3 linked regions of the Neurospora crassa OR74A genome follow. The protein of the gene in region 1 purifies or fractionates together with the protein of each later gene. This does not show direct contact. Links are inferred from orthologs where the notes say so. Each region holds a gene or a part of one and is shown on either strand. Other genes may lie near its edges.

Region 1 (7,808 bases):
TGACCTGGACTTAATGTTGGCAATGTAAAGTTCATCTCAGGCCCCGGAGCCTTGGGAACGTGGCCAGTAATACTCCAAATACTCAGAGCGAGGTTTCCGCCGCATATAAACTCAGGTTCTCCCTCACAAGGAATGCCGCAGTCCGACTCAGCAATCCGCCAGGAATCAACTACTTTGTCTCCGCAGAAGCACATGTAGCCGGCTTCCGTACCAGCCAAGCGGTACCCAAGGGTTTTGCAATATATAATGCAAATCTCCGTCGTCATGCCACCGACCACCGTAGCCGTAATCGATTCGTTCTGTAGTGCTCGAGCCGTATCATCTTTGTAGCACCCCCCATAATGCCAGCCTGCTGTGGCAGGATGTAAGGTTTCGGCTGCAGCGGCAGTCTCAAACACAGTCAAGGATTGTGTTGAAGTAATGGTGATTTCCACGACAGCGCCTCCAACAGGGGCATTTCCAGAAGTGGCCACTGTGGACAGGTTTACAGTAACGCTCTCGGGAGTAGTAGTTGACAACGGGATACAAAACCACCCGCTAGAGCAGTGATAGCATGGCCATCCGTGCCCACAGGGGGCCGGCAGCGCAGGAGTGAGAGGCGGTGGACAGAACCATCCATTGATACAGTCGTTGCAAAGGTAACCCTGACCAGGACATGGACCTGAACCGGGACCGTAAGACGATAATGAGGTAACTCCAGAATTGTCTCCATATCCGAGAAGGCCTCGGGAGCCAGAGACGCCCCCAGACCCGTTGCTGCTCAGCCTACCTGCATTGTTGGCTTCTTCAGGGTTGGTTCCGGACCCAAAAGTACTACCTGAAGAAGAGCCGCTATCATCGGATAGGCAAGGAAGACCCGTGAAACATGAAGGACACGCAGGCAGAGAGGGACAAGTGAGCATCGAGGTTCTAGTACCACTATTAGCAGAGAAACCAATGGTCGCACATAGCAGCAGCACTTACGGTGTGCCACCGAGACAGGTAGCAATGATGCTAAGCTCCACGGACGTAACCGTGATAGTTTGTGTGCTGGTGGAGATAACGGATATCATCTGCCCTGCTCCCCCTGCCTGAGGTAAGAGACTGTTTGAAGCTCCGCGTCTCAAAGTACAAGTTGGACCTGAATAACTGCTTATCTGGAACACAGAGTCGCTGGTTGGCTGTCCTGAAGCGCTCACAAAGACTGCAGACACAGACGCTGGGGCTTGGACTGTTGAAGCATTTTCCAATGCTGGACCAGTGATAGGAGTTGTCGAGCTTGGTCCGTTGATAAAGGGCGACGTTGTTTGGATTGAGCTGCACGGGACGGACACCGGAATGACAGAGTCGCCTACCAACATCAACCGTGAGCACAGTACACCAACAGTCTCGGAAGAGGCTGAACCCGCGGCCACCGTGACTTGACTGATCAAACTGTCCATTGGGGTATTTGAAACCATGCTGGCCAACACCGATGCTACAACGCCAACAACGTTGCTGGCTAACGCAATATTTGACGGACCCGCAACGCTTGAGAGTGACTTCGCAAATTGAGAAAGGGGTACAGCAGTGGGAAGTGATATGTCAGAGAGCTTCAACAAAAGGCTTGTCGGGATCGATACCTGAATGGTAGTCGAAGAGAGATTTAGGGTAATGGTCGGCAATTCTGACGTCAAGAGCGTAGCTTCTGACACGACCGCCTGGGTGAGAGATGGCACTTCCGAGGCAAGCACTGCTGTTAAGGAAGCAACATCGGCCACAGGAACCGACACTTCTGAGCCAAGAATCGATTGTAGGGACTCTAGGAGTAGTAGAGCCGACGGTATGTTCGTGCTCAACATGGGCATCAGTGGTGTTGTCTCCGAATTAAGGAGCGGAATGCTAGCTGTTCGTAGAGGAACACTTGGTACGATGGCACTCAAGATCGAGGCAATGTCTGGCGTTGGAAGCGGAACTGTCGGTACAGACACAGGAACAGAAGCTAGCTCAGATGAAAGCAGCGCTGTGAGAGTTGCCGGCAGGGGAAGGGAAGCCATCTCCGACACGACAATTGCTGAGAGCGACTGGAGTTCCGAAATCGAAACCGGAAGTTCTGAGCTGACCATCGACTGGAACGACTGCAAGAGCGGTAGGACTGATGGCAGGTCTGTACTCAACAGGGGAATCAAGGGCGTGATCTCAGACATGAGGAGCGGGATGTCAGATGTCGGAACCGCTGCGGTTCGCAAAATGGCACTTGAGTTAGAAACTACCCCGGGTGTTGGGTTCACGTTGGTTGGTACGGGGAATGAAAGCGGAAGTGACAATCCTGGGCTAAGGAACGCCGGTTGGCCCGAAGAGGTCGGGCCCGGTACTGGTATAATGGGTGGCAAGGTACCTTCCGCCGACATAGTGGTGGCCTGCTGTGCTCCGGGCTGAAGAACACTCTCCAAAGCCGGGATGAGGGATACGAGAGAAGCGACATCTGTAGGAAGCGTAGCGTTCGGGCTGACCATTGTCGTACCGATGTTAGAAAGACTGGTCGTCAGTGAACCCAAGATGGTGTTGAGCAACGAGATGAGACCCCCGATGACCGCCGAGTTCGATTCGAGTGGGGTTGCGGCACTACCAGTACTTGTTGTAACCAAAAGAGTAGTTTGGGCTGGAGGATTGAGCACTAAAGACAAAATATCAGGATCGATTATCAGGCCAGGGGCACCCAATTCGTCTGACTTGGGCTCCTGAGGCTCACCATTTTCTACCTGGCGGTGGACATGTCGAAGGGCCGGGGTTGTTCCTGTCTCCTTGCTGTCCGAGACATGGTTGGAAGCGAGGCTGATGGGAAGAAGGAGTAGGGGTAGCAGGTAACGACCAGCGGACGGCATGGTAGCCAGAAAACGACTGTGTCTACCCGAAAGAAAGAAAAAGGAAAAGAGGCCAGTTGTGTAGGTAGTTGATACACTTCCAAGGGCAGAAGGCCAAAGCGGTTCCAAAACTCACAAGTCCAAAACCCGTGGTCCAAAAAAAAAAAGAGGGAAACGAACGGTGCTCGGCCTAGCAGAGTATTGGTGATGGAAGAGAACATGGAGAAGAGTAGAAAAAAAAACATCAATTGGGGATTGAGAAAGATGATGCTCTTTTGTCAAGCCGGAGAAGCGATTGCTCTTTCCCAGTCAACTCCTGCACAACCGCCATCATGGGAAAGGGGCAAGACCAACCGACCCCTCGAGGAACAGTCACGAGTGACTACCTAGATGGTATCTCAAGGTCAAGTCACGAGTCCCTTCCTACCGCGCTGCCTCTCGGACAGGCCATTTCCAGTATAGAAAGCAACTTAAGTGGAAGGCTACCTACCACTCCAAGCTTGGTCTCTTGTACGTGATTTCTGTGTGAACCGTGTCTGCTGAGCTGTTAGCAACCGCGAACCATACAGCATGTTAAGCTCGCAAACCAAATAAACAGCTGTCCGTAGTATGAGCAGCGACGACCCTTGACCGCATGGAACACATTGTCCCACAACGCTACCATCCATAACATTCACGTTGATTCGCTATTCGAATGGGGGCTTTGTCGTTGTTGGTCATTTCATCAATTTTGGGACTCAGGCCGATCGCACTAGGTATTTGGGACAACAGCCTTCATCTATTCCATTCCCGGAGCCCATGCAATCAAATAACCACAGACGCCCGAAAGAATCCTTCCATCCTCGCTAGCTGAAAACAACTTTCAACCAGTCGCTTAGTTGGCGTAACGCTTGCCCTCACGGAGGGTGTCGGCGAACTCCTCAAGAGGAGAGCGGGTCAACTTGGTCTCCTTCCACAAGTTGGGGGTAAGGAAGCCATAGGTGTTGGAAACAGCGGCGAAAGTAGCCTTGAGAGTGTTCTCAAGGGTCTTGGTAGAGCCGGAAGAGGAGGTGTAAGCATCCTCGATACCGGCGAGCTGGAGAAGACGCTTGACGGCGGGGGAGGCAACGAGGGAGGTACCACGGGGAGCGGGGATAAGCTATGAGGATCGCAGTCAGCGCCAGTTCCAGCTTCTCGGGTCAAATTCTGGGTATAACTTACGCGGACGGTGACGGAACCGCACTTGCCAGACTCCTTGACGGGGAGGGAGTGGGGGAGACCGAGGTTGGCGCCCCAGTAACCGCGACGGACGGGGATGACGCTGAGCTTGGCGATGATGATGGCAGCGCGGATAGCAGTAGCGACTTCCTTGGAGGTCTTGATACCGAGACCGACGTGGCCCTCGGAGTCACCGATGATGACGATGGCCTTGAAGCGGGTACGCTGACCGGCACGGGTCTGCTTCTGGACGGGCTTGATCTGCAGAGGGAGAAAACAACAATATCAGCATGCAGTTTCGTGGGGTTTCAAGCACAGTTCCCCCCAATGTCGTCGCGAATCCTGCGATTCTCGCTCCTCCCCCTCCTCAACCTCATCCTCCGGGCATCAAAGAATTCGTTGCTGCGCACCTTCATGACCTCATCCTTGAGCTTGGGGAGGAAGAAGTCGACGATCTGGTACTCCTTGATGGGGAGAGAGTGGAGGTAGATCTCCTCCATGCTCTTGATCTTGCCGGCCTTCACGAGACGGCCAAGCTTGGTGACGGGCTGCCACTCCTTCTCCTCGGACTTGCCGCCGCGACGGCCACGGCCACGTCCACCACGGCCACGGCCGCGGTCACCACCACGATCGCCACGGGAAGCGAAGCCGCCGCCACGGGGGCCAGAAGTTCCACGATCAGCCATTATGTCGGTTTGCCGGTAGGGTATCGGAGACGGAGGGTCTGTTGCTGGTCGTCGTCGTGGACTGGTTGAGGAGTGCAGATACTCGACGTTTTTCTCGGGCGCCTGGTGGGGGTCGCAGCTTTTCGCTGCGATTTCTGGATTTTGCTGGTGCGCTCCGCCTTTGGCACCAACCCTAACGCCCACCTCATTGGCTATCCGCGGGTTTTGTCCCGCCTGGCAGCCGAAAGGTGGGGTAGATTTGGGGTTACAGCTGTCAGGCTTGGCATGGACAATGAGTGTGCACGGACCAGGCTGTCTGCTTCTCAGCCCAACTGCTTGCTGTAGCTACCTACAGGGCTGGCCGTCGCACCGTCAGTCCCGCCGCGAACTTGCAATCGTGAACCTTGAATGCCGGGGCAGTTTCAACCCGTCATGGGCAAATTGAAGCCCCACTGCGATCATTGAAGTCCATCCCTCCCTCTGTAGGCCATCGGGGTTCTCACTCTTGTCATTACCAACGCGTGGAGATTTCAGTATCGGACTCGTGTCAACAAATCTTTCAATTTTGTCGATAGTTGTTGCGGAGTTCCTCACTGTCGCTACAGATTCCCAGTGAACACCCGATATCAACATCCATTTGCAAATGCACATTACCTTGTCGCATCATCAGATGGTTCAGTGGAGGTGTTCGTCTCTTAGTTGCGACATGTGCCTCCAGTCTGTCGGTCTCCATAGACTCATAGAGGCATCCAACTCACACAGAACGACCTGGTATTGCACGTTCCTCTTCCAGGGATCACACGCTGATATGATCAAGAAGAGAGCCGTTTTCTGAATAAGTGCCCAAAGGGCAAATCGATTTTCCTATTGTACCTAGCTGGAAGAAGGGGGCATCATCAGATTCCATCAAAACGCCTTTGCACCGGAAACCTAGCCTATAGTAGAGGATGAACTGAGTACCCAAGTCCAACACATGCTCCTGCGTTCCCGATATGCCCATGGCCATGACCATTTCCCTCGTAGGTAGAATCAGTAAACGCCTAGAGACGCCATGAGATGCTTGCTTGCTTATTTGCGAATGAGCAACATTCCAAAAGATAAGCCCTTCAAGCAGAGGGGTTGGCGTTCATCTGGATTCGATGATATGTCAGCACAACTGCGACCTGGAAGCAAAGCGTGAGTGAGCCCTCCTACCTTGCGCTTGCCGCCAGGACCGGTGACAACGTTCACGAAACGGCGAGTGTAGATTTCGCGCTTGTGAGCACGGCCCTTGGGAGTCTTGGGCTTTTCCTGGGGCTCAACCTTGGGAGTCTGAGACTTGACCTTGCCTGAAGATGGGTGTGAGTTTTGGTGATGAAGGTGTGGCGAAATGGCATCAAAAACTGCAACTTACCGGCACGAGCAAGGGAACCGTGAACTTTGCCCATTTTTAATGGTAGTGATGGAGTGGTGGTGAGTGGCTTTTTGTGACTGTTTTTGGGTGAGTATTGGACGGCGAATGGGCCGAAAGGGGGACAATACAAGGGTTTAGAATGATGTGAGGAAGGGACTCGGGATGTTTTATACCTGTATCTGGCAGGTAAGATATTCGGCCGTGTCAAACATTCACCGATGACTCCCGTCTGTTTTATCGTCCCGAAAAGGGCAGTCGGGAGCCAACCGCTACGTAGACTAGTGTTGTGTAGCGGTACTGGTAGTCTTCCACTGCAGTGGGCTCCGGGGGGATTGCCAAGAGAATTGCCCCCTGGCGACACGAGAAAGAAACGCCTGCAACCACCAATGTTAAACAGTGGGGCCTCAGCATGCAGGGAAAGCACCGTCTCGATTACACTACCAACGGCGAAAGAGGTGAAATCAGAATCCCATGCGAAAGACTGGCAAAAAGCCGATATGTATTATTCAACAAAAAAACGACTAATGCATAGGTATAAATGCCCGTAATCATAGTTCAACTTCCTCGTACACCCCTCGCAAAGGATTTGCTGCCAGCAAAAGGCAACCACCTCAACCGGCCCGGAGGAGCCTCGAGGCTCGAGACTGGACGGAATTAGTACTGTACACTAGAAGTTTTGGAACGACCCAAACAGGCAAGTTCAATTACAGTCTAAACTCTAGAGTGTTCACGTGCGAGCGCGCTCCTTCCGCGACAGACAAGTCCCCGGCATCCATCCAACACGACGCTTACGCCGCGCAACGTTAATACCCCACGTACCTAGTTAGTTAAACGAAGAGTGACCGCGTAACACCAATACTTGCGCGCGATCGGCCATCGCGTCATCTCAACCCATCAATCTCCACCTCAAAGTCCGCACTGTCAATTCCTACCTCCAGTTTATTCCAGTTGGGATTGTTGAGAATATGTGGCTTCTCGAAAGTGACGTCTTCGAAGGTGGGTTTTGTCCTGTGTGCTACTGTGCTACATGAATTGGCGGTCGCGTCGACGCGCTGCCGTGATGCCATCCATATCAGATCAAGAAACTTCGTGGGAAGAGATCGCTGACCCCGAACGAGGAAGCCAGACGGAAGAAAATGGCTGCGACCGGGCAGGCAGTACCTTTTTGGTAGGACTGCGGAAAACAGTATGGCTTCCTCAGCATGAGCATGAAAACAGCCACTGACTGGCCTTTTAGCCGATTTTGTCATTTCTGACAAGACAATCTCACGGAATCATATTTGCATTCATGTCGCTGATGTTGTGGACGGCGATGGTGTAGGTTTCCTCGGGCAGGGAATGTTCTGAATTGCCTCGGCTGATAAAGCTTCTTCAGGGCAACATACTCGCACGCTCCAAAATCACCATTGAGGATAAAAATTCGAAAAAGGGCACCCTCTTGAACGGGACTCAAATACGTGGACAGAAAGTCGTCCTCACCGAACCAACCAACGAGCTTATATTGGGTGCCTGTCCACATCAACTTCGGTATGTATAACCCTATACAAACGAACCATGGTGTTACCTGACCTGAACTCACCGGTTTGCTTCAGCATCGTATGGCGTCCTGTTGTTCTCAGCTTCTCTTTTACCAAGAAGGAAATCGAGGCTGGTTCATGGCAGACGCTACGTGACAACCTCGAGCAGCTTGACATCAAGTACATAGGTACTTACGAACAGCTCACCACCCAC
Region 2 (8,041 bases), on another chromosome or scaffold:
ACGTCGTCGGCCTCGTCTCCTTCCTCGTCGCCATCTTCGTCTTCTTCGGTCTCCGCGGCATCAAGGGTGAAGAAGGCAAAGGATTCCGGACCCTCTTCGGACTCAAGCGCCGAACCGACGACCACTCGGCCCCCTACTCATCCAAACAAGTCTATCCCTACCTACACCTCCTCCGCGACTCGATCCGGCTCGGCCTCACCGACTCCGACATCGCCCTCGGCTACCTAGGCGGCTTCGTCGCCCGTGCCTCCACCGTCGCCATCTCGCTCTTCATGCCCCTCTTCATCAACGCCTTCTTCATCCGCAACGGCTTCTGCCAAGGCTCGCCCAACGACCCTTCCCCAGAGCTGAAAAAGGAATGCCGCCAGGCTTACATCCTCTCGTCTATCCTCACGGGCGTCGCCCAACTAATGGGTCTCCTCTGCGCTCCTCTTTTCGGCTACCTCTCTAGCCGCAAGTTCACCAAACAGAATAGACTCAACTACCCTATCATTGTGGCCACCACCTTTGGCATCGCCGGCTACATTGCCTTCCCCCAGCTTAAAAGCCCCGAGTACAAAGACAAGGATGGGCGGGGCGGCAGCCCTGTCGTCTTCTTCCTCGCTGCACTTATCGGCATCAGCCAAATTGGCGCCATCGTCTGCAGCTTGGGCTCGCTAGGACGAGGTGTGCTGAAGGTGGACGTAGTCAACGTCATCACGCATCCGCACCGCGTCGACAGGGACAGCGAAGTAGCTACTGTGACTGAACCAGCTGATAGCCGGAACGAGACGGCACCCCTTTTAGAAAATCCGGGAGCTTTGCCGGAGGATACGGTGTCGAGAGTAAGGCTGAAGGGGTCCGTGGCGGGAGTCTACTCGTGGTGCGGAGGTGCGGCCATCTTGTTGCTGACAAAGGCGGGCGGGTATGGGTTCGATGAGTGGAGCACGGGGACGCCGTTCTATATGATGGCTGGGTTCAATGTGGTTTGGTTGGTGGTCAGTCTGGGGATTGATGCGGGAAGGTTTGGGTTTAAGAGGAAGAGGGGGGGAGTAGTGATCTATGGGCATCAGGTGCCGAGTGGCTTTTGAGTGTTTTGGCGGTTGTAAGGTTGTGTGATCCAGATGGGCGAGGATAGGGGGAGGGTGGAAGTCGTTGATGATGTTATGATGTATGAATTTTGCAGAGAATATGAATCGTGCATGCTTAAGGAAATGTGTACTGTTGCATGGGCGCTGTTGAAGCGGTGATCGAGTACTGCTACTCTTCCAAAGACATGGTGATTCACTCTCTAGTTTCTGCATCCAACCATCTTTTCCCATCTTCGTATGAAACTAGCATCTCCCGAGAACCAAACCTTCCACTCCCCAAGTTCGCAACACACATTCCTGGAGAAAAAAAAAAAAAAAAAAAGACAATAGACAAGGAAAGACATAATATAGAGTGACACGACATGCTCCGTGGACTCTCACCGACCCAACTACCAGAATCTATTCCAGGGAACTGAAGACGACATTCCAGCCCTCGGTCTGATGCGGACCGAATAATCCCATACTCGGGAAACTCGGGTTCTTCGGTTTTCAGGTACGCACCTGGCAGTACCTACAAGTAGGGCTTGTTGTGCAAGCAAGTACTCTGTAGAGCTTGTCGGTAGGGTTTGTGCGCATTACCACCGACATAAAGCATCATGCATGCAGATGCGCGCATGTAACTTGATGCAGATTGTCAGAGTTGTATTCAAGGATCTAGAATCATCCATCGTGAGGTGAGAAAGCAACAGGAGACTTCGTCACTAGGTCTCTTGCAAATGGATTGTATGTATCACCACTTACTTAGATGATGTGCAAAGTCGGACCGAGCATAGAGTCTACCATAAGTTTCCACAGATTCTGGCTTGTCTGAGATATGAAAGCCAGGATGACTGGAGTTCTCCGGCAGTGTCACATCTTCGAAGCATATGAGGATGAGGGAGGGAACCTCGAGGTTGAGAATGTAACTTGGAGAGGATGGAGAGAGAGAAAGGTTGTAAGATTGAAGGTAGATATCGCTAGTGTTGTCATGGAAGTGAAATGTACATCAGGTCATGTCTTGTATGGTATGGCGGCTGTGATATGGATAAGTAATCATGGGGTTGTGATGGAGAGGGTGTTTTGCACAAGACAAGAAAGGGACACAAAAGAGTGGTCTGTTTACCTGGACCTAGGTCATAGTGAAGGGGTGGTTAGTAAGAACCGCCGAGTTCGGAGTTTGAAATGGAAATGAAAAGGTCTACTACAAGTACTTGTGTGTCAATATCATCGTCAGTGATTTTCCATCTTATTATGTGCCTATGGCGACCAGTCAGTTCAAGATCACGGTGCAGCAAGAACTTCACTTGTCCAGTGAGACATCGAAAAGTGCACTTAAACAGCCAACACAGTGTTGAGTACAAGTCACGGATCAGTGTCAGCTTGTTGTGCCTTTGCCAGAGGAATCCAAAACACTTGTTTTGATATTGCTGCTCTGCCTGATGCCTTTTGCCAGATGCCATATTGGGTGTTAATCCAAAACAAGCCTGTCTTATGTCCATTCTTACGACCTTGCCATGGTCGAGCTATGTCATAGTGCCACCTAGACTATAGCGTGTGTGTCTTTTTGCCCTCTGGATGGTTGCCATCCCATCCTTTGTCTGCGGTTTGAACCGGGTAAAAAGTGAAATATATCCTAGGTATAACGTTCATGCATGGAAGGAAAGGGGATAGATACGGGGAGGAACCAGGTCATACGAACGCGCGCAATTTCAACTTTCGAGCTTGAACAGTTTTACTTTGTTCGATTCCGCGGTAAGTGGTGGACAGATAAGGAAAACCTCTTTCACGGTTCCGGTGTTCATGAACCACTTTTCCGCTAAAGGTGAATGCAACCAAACAGACGAACACCGACCCCATGCTGGCTGCTTTTTTTATCCCAACCCGCCGCCATCCTGATTCTGACATTGCCGCCTCGAAGAGAAAATAAAGGGGGGGCCGTGTGACTGAATAGTCTGGCTTCGATGTATGGTCGTTATGCCGATATTGAGAGGCATTTAGTTGCCGAGGCTGGGGAAGGCAGACTCATCGTTGGGGTTGATGGGAGCAGCCTTGTTCTCGGCGCGGGGAGCACCGCCACGGGCAGCACCACGGGCAGCACCACGGGGAGCGCCACGGCCACGGCCGGCGTCACCACGGGGACCACCGCGGCCACCGCGGGCACCACCACGAGCGGGACGCTCGGGCTCGACGAAACGCTGGTCGATCTCGAGGACCTGCTTGACCTTGCGCTCACGCTCGCGCTGCTTCTTGCCGGCGGAGCCAGCAATGAACTCCTCGGTCTCATCCTTCTTGAGGGGCTTGGCGTTGGCCCACTTCTTGTCCTCAACGACACCCTCGTTGGCCTTGCGGACCTTGAGGGCGGCCTCGGCCTCGAGAGCGGCCTTCTTCTCGGCGAGCTGGGCAAGGTACTCAGAGTAGGAGACGTGCTTCTCCTCCTCCTCCTCGGGGATAGCCTCAGCGGCGGCCTCACCCTCGGTGGTGGCCTCCTTCTGCTCAGTCTTGGCGATCTCCTCGGCGGCCTGCTCATCCTTCAGCTCGGCCTGGCCCTCGGTGGCGCCCCAGGAAAGGGCAGCCTGCTTCTCGGATCCGCTAGTCAGGGTGTTAGTGGACGGAGGTGCCTGTGGCTAGAAATTGCTTGACCGGAACATACGAGGGGATGGACTTAGAGTGGCGGTCATCCGAGGTGTTACGGGGGTGACGGCCACCGCGACCACCGCGGACGCGGGCGTTAGCGCCGCCGCGGGGACCACGAGCAGCACCCTCCTCAGTGGGCTTGCCACGGTTGCGGTCGCTGCCGGCGTTGCGGTCGCGGAAAGCTGGGACCGAAAATGTCAGTTGAGAGGGTAGCCATGGTTAGCATGTTGGATGATCAACATACCGGCCTCGTTGCCGGTCAAGTTAGAGCGACGGCCAGAGCCCTGAGCGGGGGCCTTGCTGGGAGCGACGCCATCGGAGTTGCGCTTGGTGGTGTGGGTCGAGGTCTTCTCGACGATCTTAGCAGGGGCGGCGGGAGCGGTGTTATCCTCCACGTCGTTGCCTGAATGAAAACAATCGATCCGTCAGTATTGGTGGTTCCTTGGATTGCGGTGTTCAATGTTCCTCCTCGCCCTGCCAATTTCGAGTGTGCCGTCGCGTGGGTTCCGTAATTCACAGGAGGGTGGGCAACCAACCGAGCAGATCGAACAGGTTCTGTAGAAAAAGAATCGCAATCGGTTAGTTTCTTGCTGTCTTGAGCTCTAGATTTTCGCGGTATGGCCGGCTGCTGCTCGCTGTGCGTCTGGATCCCCATTCTCCAAGCCTCCCTCCTCTTTCGGATCCCAAATTGTCGCAAGGAGCCGGTGTTGGCGGACTCGCTCGGAAACAAAAATGAAGCTCTCAGTTTCATTTCACGGCGAGGTCCAACCACGGGGTCATCCATATCCGCTGCACAGCATGCAGCTCTCGGCCGACCGTGAAACCGGCCATTTCGGAGATTGACGGGGAGAGAGATAAACACACCTTGGAAGCGACCGACATCTTTGCGCTTGACAGGACGTTGGCCTGACTCAATGCGCTTCTTCTAGACGGGGTTGGGTAGGGGGGGCGGACGACAGCGACAACGACGTCTGATGCTCGCTGTGGTGTCGTAAAAGATTTTGGCAAATCGCTCCCGGGCCACAGGGAGCTCGGACCAGGTTTTGGCAGTGGCACGGATCACAGAGACGCTCGTGCCCCGCCCACCTGCACCAAATCTCCCCTCCAAGGCCCTGCTCTGGCCCTCTTTGCCGCTGTTCCCCGCTTCCAACTTTGACTGCCGTTTTGGCTTTTTGGTGAAATTTCAGTGCGCCGCTGTTATTGGTGGTTAGGGCTACCACTTTGCACGCTGCCTGCCCTTTGTTACCAATGTGACGTGCGTATCGATCCGTACACGCCGTAACTTTGCCTGTTTGAGCTCTGCTCCCAATCCGGCAAGTCTTGGCAGAGTGTTTGCAGCTGCGACGACAACCACTCACGACCATAGACATCATCGTCACCAAGGTAAACAAACCACTGGAAACACATCCGTCACAAACACCTGACGGAAGCTGCCGCTTTATATGCCAAGTTGACGCATTCCTGCTGAGGTGACAGCCTTCTATGAGATCGGACCTGCCTCAAGCACCCCGGACTTCCTGTCAACGGACTTCATGCCAAAAAGGCACGCATTGCCGTCGTGCTTTTAGACACCGGACGTCATGTCTTTCTTGGGGAAGTATTACCTTGGTTGCTGTGCTTGACGGCTTGCCAACAGGTGCTTGATCACGGCCACATTGGAGAGGTCATCACGGACCACTTGAGCAGTTTGATATGCAGCGTGGACCTTTCACCTTTTTTTTTCTTTTTCTTTCTGTTTTTTTTTTCCAACCCCTACTTCTATCTTACTTCCTTTCATTCAAGACTTCTCTGGAAAGTCTGCCATATGCCATGATGTAGAACAGTGTTGGAAGTTGTATAGGTTCTACGTGTCTGTTGAACCGCATCACCCTCAAATCACAGCGGCTCTGCATGCGTTTCCACAAGTGTGGTTCTGGATGGACTCACCCGTTGGTTTGCATCTGACAGTCATGGCAGAGAGTGGACGCTGTGGCGACGAAGCTCAAACAGCAACTATATTAGGACGAGTACCGTTCGCCAGTCGAAGCAGTTGCCAATGGATGTTGAATTCATGAATTGAAGCTCCCCTTTTTAACACACTTGTTTACTTCCTCGTGGCCCTTCGAGGCGGAGATGGACATACATCTGCAAAATACATAACCTTTACCACATTAGAGTCCTGTCCTCGCATCGAGAATGGAAGATAGCCATCAGCAAATGTCTCTTTGTTGTAGGTTAGTTAACCTGAGATATCGGTATCAACTAATCCAGTTATTGTACGGATAACAAGTCGCGGAGAGCCATTTCATCATGATCAATATGCAAGTCGACTTCCTTCTTTGTTGTGTAGCTCTGCAATTCCTTTCTCTCCTTTTCATCTGCCTTTTCAAGATTCTACTGCATTTCTCGTGTCTTGCTTTTCACCCAACATCGAGTCTTTCGTGTTAGTCATGGCAGATTGTTTGAAGTCAACTTACAGGCGTTGTATCAAACAGTGTGTCTCTGTGTTTCTTGACAACTAAGAATGTCTCCACGGCGTTGCCAGAGAAAGTTGGGCATGTACTGGATGAGAAGCATTATCTAGCCTGGTCGCCATTGTTTGGCATGACAGATTTGCTTCATTTGAGCTGATATTTAGCTCTGAGGCTATGCAAAGTCCACAACACTCTGAAACACCGGGGCAGCCACATGAGTCGTTGACGGTAGAAGTCGTTCTGGTCACGAAATCTGTCTTCAGGAGTTTGTCGATCATTCATCTTTAGGTTTGAGCCACATTATGCACCTACTCTTGGATATCGGCAAGGGATGTTTGAGGAGGCTGTTATGAAGCACTTCTAACGTTATACTTCTGTCCACTGTATCAAACACGCCAGTACATCATCTGTGAGCGAAAGCCACAGCTCAGGCTTTGGGTAATAGGAGAGAACCCGGTCGGTAGAAGTTGCAATCAAACCCACCTCATTAACGTGTACCTCCCAGGTCTTGCTTGATACGAGTGTTAGTTCACGGGAAGACAAGAAGTCTATTTATTACCAGGCAAATATGTATACAAAAGCCACATGTCAACCGCTCAAACCAGCAAATGTGGAGGTCTCGACAAACAAAGCATAGAAGTAGGACACTTTGCGCCTACAAGCACTATGGCTGAAATCTCGAAAAGATGTCACACTGTATTGAGGCCGCAGGCTCTACGAAGCAGCAAAAAGAAAGAAGAGCTTGAAGGACACTCCCATTTTCGACACCTCCGCCGACAACGAACAGCTCACCAAGTTTCACGATACTCACTTGCAGTATGCTCGCAACGTCCGTTGTGAGCGCAAGGTCAAGAATTTCGAGCTGAGCCCACATACTTGTCACGATTTGCTCCAGATTGCCTGGAAAGAGGACTTCAAAGAATATCTCTCTTGTCTAAATAACGCTCGGCTCTACATGGAGCTACACAAACGAAGTTCCCAAAGAGGAATGATTTAGCTGGTCAGTAGAGTGTTGAGAGAGCTGTGCCCGACTTTGAGAGTCGTCCAACAGCAGGTAGCTTGTCATTTGGCAACGAGATCGACGGTTCCTTTGGGTGTGACTCATCCTGCATTCGGCTTGCCCTGCAACCTGTCCACCAGAATTCGAAATGAGTTCAAATAAATCTGCCCGCCTTCGGGTTGATTTAACCTTCCAGAGTCTTCCCCAAGCATCAGGGCCGATTGAAAGAGGTAGTAGGAGGTAGGAGTGATGAAAGCGTGATGGTGGGCTTGTCACATCTGTGCGACCACCGGTCAGCGTGCCGAGTGACGCCTCAGCGGCACGGCCAGGATGGCGACCCGAACCTTGTCGAAGCGGAAGCATGGAAGGGTTCCCGCTGCGGCTCTACACTACTCCAACACTGGACAGGTTGGAGGAACAGGAAAGTATGTACCATTCATGCTCATCCCGTTTCTTCTCGAAGCGTTTCATGGTGCAGAATACGAATCCAGATGCTCAGCGGATAGAACCCAGCATTGCTGAAGGGCAGGTCGATATGTCATGATGGCTGGGCTGACAGAAGTCCACTGGCTACACACGGCTACCATCGGCGCCTCCACCAGAAGTCACTATGCACACTTCCACAGGCAGCAGCGTTTCGGTGTGGAACTGAGGTTTCACTGGACTCAATTCAACAATGCGGATCCCCAGACCACCGTTTGACTCCAGTTCCGTACCTAACCCGGGGATGATTCCTTCCGGACCGGTCATCACGCGGTAGACCGGTCCAGACTATGCAGTGACTTGTACGCGGAACTCCCAGGATCTCCTTACACTACAAATGGGACACATGGGAGTTGAGGGGCAACATGCTGGTCGTGAATGGAGTATCTATGTGTCATGGCTTACCCCATGAGCTACATGAC
Region 3 (7,855 bases), on another chromosome or scaffold:
ATATTTAATTATACTTCATTTTATTAAATATAGTAAATATATAATAAAGAATATAAATACTTTATAAAAAGGTTTATTTAATATAATTAAATAAAATTTATTAAAATATAGGAAGTATTAAATATTTGAATTTTAATTGCAGTATTAAAATTATAATAGTAAAAGTTATTCTAATAATTTTTTTTAAAAAGAAGTAAAATATTAAAACTTATTTTTTTTTTTAAAAAAAAAATTAGAATATTCTTTTACTTATTACTTTATATAAAGTAGTATAAAAAGAATTTAATAACGTAATACAAAGTATATTAATAGATAATTATAAACTTTAAACCTAAACTAATAAAACTATACTAACTTAATTACTTACAAGACTCTAACTCTATGTTAACCACCTTCAAAACTCTAATTAACTTAACGTTAAGCGCCTCCTTTACCTAACTATCCATTAAACCCTAGAACTCGCCCATCTTCTTTCTCATCTCCACCCTATCCAATTCCTCCCTTACTATTATATAATTAATACACTATTATTACTCGTTCTCAAATTATTCCCTAACGTACCTTTATAGTACGTATAGTCCTTACTACGACTTTGGTATATATAATTAGTATAGGCTCCCTTCAAAAAATTTCCGTAAGGGACGAAATAGATATTAATAGGGCCGAAACTACGAGAATTATTATATTTACTATAAGGTTCGGTATTGCGTTAGGGGATTATAAAAAAATAATATATAATAGTAGAAGTACAATTTATATTATTATAACGAAGTTAGATAAGTAATTTAATACCGCCGGTGAAAATTGCCTTTTTAATTTAGAAGCGACGTAGTTCCTTCGAGTGAAATTAGTTTTAATTGAATAAGATTTCAACTAATTGTAAGGGAAGTACCTACAATTACGTCGCGACTAAGAATATTCTTATAGTATTACTAAAGAATAGCTATAGCGTTATTAAATTTATAGGTTCGGACTTGTTCGATAAGGAAATTAGTAACTTTATTATTATTTAATTCGGATTCGTACTTAGTAAGCAGCGTTTTGCGCGGTATATTATTATAAATAAAATCCTCGTATAGGAAGTTCTAGTTAGGTGTAGCCGTAGTATTTTCGCTTATTTTGTTGTGAGTGTAGCGTGATTGCGATGTAAGAGTAGTTGATAATGCGCAAAAGAGGAAGTTGAATGCAATATGCGAATGTAAGGTTGAAGCTTGTAGGATACAAGCGCAAGTATAAGTACTGGGCGTACAAACGGAAAGTGCGGGGTGCGAGTATCTGAGCTCCCAGGTGGCAGGTGGGGAAAAATACAGTTGGGCGTTCATACTGCCGTATCATGGTTGGTTGAACTGAAGTGTCCAGATTTCAGGGGTTGGTTGGATTGGCGGCTTGGCGCTTTGCTGTTAGCGAGACGTGGATGAATCGGGTGTCCCAACGGTGATGGTCAGGCTGGATGATGCTGATGTTGAGGTTGATGGTGAACTACCTCTAGGTATAAATGATGGAAAGATAAGAAGTGATCAAAACGACAATGGAAAGCCTAAGTATGATAGGAGCACTGAAAAGAAAGATGAAACAAATACAGCTCCTGGGTGAAACCAGAGCTGCCGTTGTCGGGTCAGTGCCAGGCCGGAACGGGAGCTTGGGCCATCCGGAACCCCAGGGCCCCAGTACGGCCCCGGCTTTCTCAGCGACAGGACCCTCCTTCCGTCTACCGTCCGAGACCATATTAGCCCGAAGAATCGGACCTTCAAACACGGCCCAATAGTCTACGTGGTAGTGCACTGGGTCCAGAAAATGCGCGGTATTTTCGTAGGTTTAACCCGTGCCCGTCCAGAGTTGACTCATCCCGAGTTCGATTCCGAGCATGGGCGAGCTGATCTTTTTCTTCTTTTAAGGCTCAGATCACATCCACGAGTAAACGCACCCCTTCCAGAAACGCTTACCAGGTTGACGCAAAAACTGAAGTTGGCTATGAGGTTGGCCGTCAATCTCGAAAGATATGTAAAGAAGCCTTTTACTTTCATCCACTGAAAGTAAGAAGCTCCGACGTTCCTGAAAGGTCCCTCCCGCCACAGCGCAACTCCGGCCCTCTCAAAATATATCACCACTGGAAACATCTACTGAGGGGATAAAAAAAAGGAGAAATAAAGAAAGGGGAATGGGGAGCGTATAGTAGAGGCATCTTCCTCTTTATAAGTACATATTAAAGGCAACAGGAGACTACTGGAATCTCCATGGGATTAATAGGCGCCCAGTATGGGAGCAGACCGTCAGTGCTCTCTTTGGTCGTCATAGCCCGGCTTGACCACTCTTTAGGTGGCTCGCCAGCGACTCAGACCTGCCTTCTGAGAAAGTGTCTCTACTCGAAAGCAGGAGGCTTCGCCCTGAAAACAGGCAAAACCATTACAAGCTCGTTTGAGGAGACGACAATCTCAGGCAGGCTTTACTGCTTTCATCATCCGGTTGCTTTACTTGCTGCGTCTGTGTCGCAAGGGATGATGGCCAAAAGTGTAGCCAGATCAAACGGGATGGGGTGAGGTATGAGAGAGAAACGCCAAACGCATCAAAGCAGGATACGCAGGCTGGAAGATGACATGATCCATTATTCTTTTAGCGCCATAGAAGCCATACCCGAGCCCATTAGCAAACAAGACAAGAGAAAGAAACCAAGAAAAGCTGATACTTGTAGACGACCACAGCTTAGTGCTTCCTCCTCGACGTGCTGTTCACCAACTTCTTCTTCATCGCCTTGGGTATCTTCTCTTTCCTCTTCTCCCTCTTGGCCTCCTTAACCGCCGCCTTGTGCTGCTTCTTTTCGTCCTTGTCGATGAACCTCTTGCCTCTTGGTGTTCCCTTTTCGAATCGGCTCTCGTCATCCTCGTCATCACTACCCTCCTCTTCGTCACCACTGCCCTCCTCCTCCTCATCAGACTCCTCCTCTTCCTGATCCTCCGCCGTCTTGTGCACCACTTGATCCGCCAACAGGTTCTTGTATACCAAATCCTCTCCTTGACCCTCGTTTACCTTGGCGACATCCTTCTCGATATCGTAAACCTCGTTCAGCGTCTTGGGGATGTACTGGTTTCTGAAAACCTCATTGTCGACCTCCTGCTCGGCCCTGGCCTCCGCGGTATCCTCCACCTCCACCCTCGTCTGGTACAGCTGTTCGACCGTCTCCTTCATACCGGGTTCCTCGGCCGGTCCCTTGGGGTTGACGATGAAATCGAAAATCGTGCGGTCTGAGAGCGTGTCGACACCCTTCCTCCTGAAGAAATCGCCGACGTTCTTGATATCCATACGCAGGAACTCGAGCGAGTGGGGATGGTCGTGCTCGACGGATTGGGAAACATCAATGATGTAGAGCTTCTTGTTGTTGTAGAGGATGTTGTATTCCGACAGATCGGCGTGGACGAGGCGGCAGACTTGGTACAGCTTGCGCATGAGGCCGAGGAGTTGGATGTAGAGGTCGCGCCATTGTTCATCGGCGTCGTCGCCCGAGATGGGAGCGTCGCGCAAACGGGGGTAGGCCCAGCCCTTGCGATCTCCCAAGAAGCTCATGACGAGCACGTGCAGCTTGAGCTTGATGGGCTCCGGGCAGGGGATGCCGGCTGTGTACAAACGGCGCAGGTTTCTGAATTCCTTTTCGGCCCAGAGCTTGACCATCTTCCTGTTGTTTCCCTTTTCACTGCCGCTCTTGAAGCGGTGTTCACCAGTAATGTACTTCTCGCGATCCTTGAACACCAGAATGGCCGTCTTGTAGATCTTGATGGCCTTGTGTATGGGGGCCGAGCCATCCTCGGGGTGGAGTATGGCACCGTAGACGTTGGCTTCCTTGCCCGTGCTGATGGCGCCGTGAATCTCGGAGACAAAGCCCTGGTTGATCATCTGCAGCAGGATCATGCGCGTGCGCTGGTCGAGGACGAGTTCGGAGGTGGCGCGATCGGACTTGTCTTTGCTGCGCTCGGCGGGACCGGAGGCATTGTCGAAGGCGTCGATGCGGATCTTTCCGGCGAACTTGGAGAGGGCGGCGATCTGGTCGTCGACGCGGGCCGACGTGTTGGCTGTGGGTTTTTGTTGCTGGGCCTGAGCTTGGGACTGCTGAGAGTTGGTAGCACCGGCGCCATGTTGTTGGCGGTTGTACGACTTGGTCAGGTCGGTGCCGCCATCTTCGTAGTCGAGGTCATCGTCGGATTCAAAGACATCTTGGAGGTCGTCGTCGTCGTCTTCCTCTTCGATCGCAAGGTTGTTGAGCTGGGCGGTGGTGTTGCTGAGGTCGACATTCTGGTTGTCGGTCGCCGCTGTGGTCGACGTGAGTTCTGGTTGGGACGCCATCTTGCTGCCGAGTCTGCTTTCGTCAGTTCCGCCGATATCAGCAGGTGGTGATGAGACAGGATGGCAGACGAAATGGAAATCGTCATGGAACTTGCGAACTTCCACTTCCCGTCCACTGGCAATTTTCTTGGTGGGGCGAGCTTACCTTATCTTATCGTAATGCGGGGTGTCTTCCAGTGGTAGGGCTGTTTTCGAGATTCAGGGTTAGGGTAATCCGTGAGTATCGAGTTCTTGACGACGACTCGACTCGAAGACGGATTGGAATGGAACTGAAGATGTTCTTGGATGTTTCCGTTCCACATGATATGGCTGCTTGTTAAGTAGTCTTCGGCTCACTTTAGGCTTCAGCATTCATAACATCTTTTCTTGCCTCTCCGAGTACAGACATTGCACCCCTGCACCGATGGCGACCAGTTTGCCACTGGAGTGAGCTTGTCGCCTAATAGTTAGTACGCTAGGCGATGATGCTGACGCTATCATTCTGATTCATTCCACTTCCACATTCATTCCTTGAGCTTTGGTTTGCATCTTCGACATCTCAACACGGTGCGGAACACACCTACTTCTGCCGGTGACTCAATCAACGCCAACAGCACTAACAGCACCCAGTGTACGCTTCCCTGTTGGACAGAACCCAGCTGTTAGTGCTCAAAAGGGGCGACCACCCAAAAGCCAATTCTCCACCCATGGGGCATAGGCCGATCCCCAAAGTCATCAAGCTAGCAATGGACACCATGGTCCCGGGTAATTACAGGGAAACCTAACATCATCCTTCTTACATTCCATTTTACTCACGGTCAAATCTGGTATATGACCTCTGGATATTTGCGTCTCATCAATGGAAACGATGGAGACTTGCAATCAAAGTAAACCCATCACGACCTTCTGGCCTGCTTCCACCTCATCCTGCAGGCATACATTGACATGACGCGTTTAGATGATTCGATTCATGGTCGTTGATGACTCCCACGTCAACAAACGGATAATGGGTCATCGACCACCCGAGTTCAGGAATGAACATATTTACATCATGTGTGAGCCGCAACTTGATGTCAACACGGAGCATATAATAGCACAGGGCCACAGTTTCCAACATCCAATAGGTAGGCGCGTCTCCCAATTCCCTTTTTATTTTATTCCGGCAACCCCCATCGGGATTCCAGCCTTGCCTAAACGGGCTCACAACTTCACTCACCATGTGCCACTCCTACATGGAACATCACTTTTGCCGTAATGGCGCCGATTGTCCAGCCGGCTATGGCTGGGTCAACGAGCAAGGGCAGCTGTACCGACGATGGTTCGAGCGCACTAGAAGACGGGTTTACTGCTATGCCAGTAGCAGCGACTGCCCAACCCGCAAGCGGGTGTTGATGACTGACTTATTCGTTTCAAGACGGATTGATGAGCTGTGTCCCCTTTGCTCGGCCGCAGCATGATTGGTATGGGAACAGTAATGGCGATGAGGTTGCTAGGGGGATATTTAGTCATTTGGGTCAAGGTCACCCGGGGCCTTAGAGATCTATTCGGAAACTTTGTTTTATGCTCGGAGTTTCCATAGATTGCTTTGATGCTCTGCCCCATTTCATGTCGAACATTCGCTTCTTTATTCCCTCCGAGCCTCAACTCTCAAATATCCCCCCTTCCTGCCCCTCAAAATTTCCCACCTTGTTCCATTCATCGGTGTCCTTCCCTTCACGCAGATATACTCCCGAAACATACCCGCACGATATCCCCAAATTTCCGGCGCTTTCATTGTGTGACATTAGGGTCCTCTTCTGCCATGTTGGAATCTGGTTCAGCGTTTCCGCTAGGGTTGTCCTTTTCCAAAAGTCAGAAAAGGCATAAAATGGAAACGGGAAGGCGAGCGCGTACCTAGGGATTCTACATAGGTAATTTTAGGGAAGAGCAAGGTGTGTCCTTAGCGGAGGGTTGAATCAGTGCCTCGGATTCTCTAAGGTAACCAAAGGATGGAATAAGCTCGTTACCGTGACAAATCGTCCACTCGTCAACAAGAGTCAGGGATCATAAAAACGTCTGAGGTATTCTTGTAGTGTTTCGATAGCAATTTCACCTGTTGGGTGAGAAACGACTTCCAAGTTTGAACTTGATTTAGGCAGGTAGTTACCTGGCATTGCCTGTTCCTTCTATTTTACCTGCCCCTGACCTTTACCTTCCCACTTCCTGGTTAGGTCTTAACCTTTTTCACGATCCCTCCCTTTCCATGATTCCTCCTTTTCCACGGTCCCTCCTTTTCATACTGAATTCCCTGCACGGTACCTAGAGGTAAACTAGCGGCGATGTGAGCCTTTAAGATTATAGAGAAGAGGACCCAAATAATGAGGTAGAGGTAAGTAGGTACCTACCATTCAAGGCTGCAAGAACCAATCTCGATTGCATATATCACACTCCCCAACCTCAACCCAACGATCCAGCCACGAATCATGCTGAAGATTGCCTCGACAGCCTCTACTGTTGCAGTTCCGCATGTTGTGTCTTTGCGTATAATAGTTGTAGCGGCGAACGGTCCCCTGGAATAGGCCTTTGCCACCCCGGCACCGATCGCCGTTGCGGCAGAACCTGTATTCAATGCCGTATCTGCACATTTGGACTTGTGTGCTTTCCTATGGTATGGGTCTTAGTGCTTTTTGTCTGGGAGGTTGGTTTAGATTATTGTGATGCTAGCTCACTGCTTGTGGTTTGGGTGTCCTGGTGGTTTCTTTTTGTACCTAAGTTTAAGGTTGGTCTATCTTCGCCTTCGCTTGGTTGCTTGGTTGATGGGCTATCTGGTGGAAGAGATCGTAGTGGTGGAATTAGGGGGATATTTATATATTTCCGAGGAGGAACTATCGGGCATCATTTGTGGTCCTTGGACTACTTCGTTTACACCCCATGAAGGGAGGTGAAAGGCTTCAGAGAACTACTGTGAAGTTCGTTGATTGAGCCCCTTGAAGAGTCGGGTTGCCCTCGTACCGGAAACAGGAAAGAATAGATCGGCCTCCGTGCTCCATGAGAAGCGAACAGGTTGCTCATGTTCGATCACTTCACTCAACCTCCATCTATTATTTGTCCCATTCACATGCCCTCCACTTTGCAAGAGTTGAATCTCAAACAATTTGAGATCAGTCCCTCATCGCAAGATCGAAGGGCCGTGGACAGAGGTTTCCTGCTTCCTATGGCCTACGTCTAGAGGTATTCATCGACGCCGCTCAATCCTGTCCTCCCGCCTACCGCAAAGACCCTTCACGGTCACATTTTGAACCGATCATCTCTGTCCCTCTAGAAGTCAATTCACCGTGTGCCCAGCAGAGAATTTTATCCCAAACGGATCCTGTAGTTTCCGTCCTTTCAGGAGAAGGACCTCAAGAAAGCTCAAGGAGCCTCAGCGCAATGGGAGACTTGGTCCTGATCATAGAGCGGATAGACCATTGGGGGCTGGATTGGTCGCTGTAAAGGATCATGTGCATGGCTTGAGTGCTATTGGGCAGTCTGGAGGGTATGCCGGGACACATCTTGCCCATCCGCC

What was found. The genes of interacting proteins can lie anywhere in the genome.
Region 2: the proteins of NCU06047 (region 1) and NCU00225 purify together in Saccharomyces cerevisiae (affinity purification with mass spectrometry; 3 studies listed by BioGRID). This does not show direct contact. The link is inferred for Neurospora crassa OR74A from reciprocal best matches to the Saccharomyces cerevisiae genes RPS2 and STM1.
Region 3: the proteins of NCU06047 (region 1) and stk-52 purify together in Saccharomyces cerevisiae (affinity purification with mass spectrometry; 3 studies listed by BioGRID). This does not show direct contact. The link is inferred for Neurospora crassa OR74A from reciprocal best matches to the Saccharomyces cerevisiae genes RPS2 and RIO1.

The regions. Positions count from the first base shown.
Region 1 is NC_026507.1:1,981,384-1,989,191, reverse strand, and holds NCU06047 (40S ribosomal protein S2), read right to left. Parts: upstream 4,869-7,808; 5' UTR 4,706-4,868; coding exon 4,430-4,705; intron 4,281-4,429; coding exon 4,023-4,280; intron 3,961-4,022; coding exon 3,697-3,960; 3' UTR 2,967-3,696; downstream 1-2,966. Other genes in the region: NCU06045 (hypothetical protein), read right to left, coding at 1-537, 964-1,052; NCU06046 (hypothetical protein), read left to right, coding at 1,819-2,397; NCU06048 (40S ribosomal protein S30), read right to left, coding at 5,791-5,814, 5,879-6,012, 6,078-6,111; NCU06049 (DNA damage response protein RcaA), read left to right, coding at 7,043-7,073, 7,204-7,263, 7,315-7,394, 7,453-7,604, 7,670-7,808. UniProt on the Saccharomyces cerevisiae protein: Component of the ribosome, a large ribonucleoprotein complex responsible for the synthesis of proteins in the cell.
Region 2 is NC_026503.1:3,073,251-3,081,291, reverse strand, and holds NCU00225 (hypothetical protein), read right to left. Parts: upstream 4,724-8,041; 5' UTR 4,566-4,723; coding exon 4,548-4,565; intron 4,239-4,547; coding exon 4,220-4,238; intron 4,087-4,219; coding exon 3,928-4,086; intron 3,866-3,927; coding exon 3,700-3,865; intron 3,639-3,699; coding exon 3,044-3,638; 3' UTR 2,264-3,043; downstream 1-2,263. Other genes in the region: NCU00226 (MFS transporter), read left to right, coding at 1-1,070; NCU00224 (hypothetical protein), read left to right, coding at 7,467-7,561, 7,939-8,041. UniProt on the Saccharomyces cerevisiae protein: Ribosome preservation factor that protect a small pool of nontranslating, vacant ribosomes in cells under nutrient starvation conditions.
Region 3 is NC_026503.1:5,213,549-5,221,403, forward strand, and holds stk-52 (serine/threonine-protein kinase RIO1), read right to left. Parts: upstream 4,724-7,855; 5' UTR 4,478-4,723; intron 4,346-4,477; 5' UTR 4,333-4,345; coding exon 2,701-4,332; 3' UTR 2,214-2,700; downstream 1-2,213. UniProt on the Saccharomyces cerevisiae protein: Required for the final endonucleolytic cleavage at site D converting 20S pre-rRNA into the mature 18S rRNA. Required for the final steps of cytoplasmic maturation of the 40S ribosomal subunit.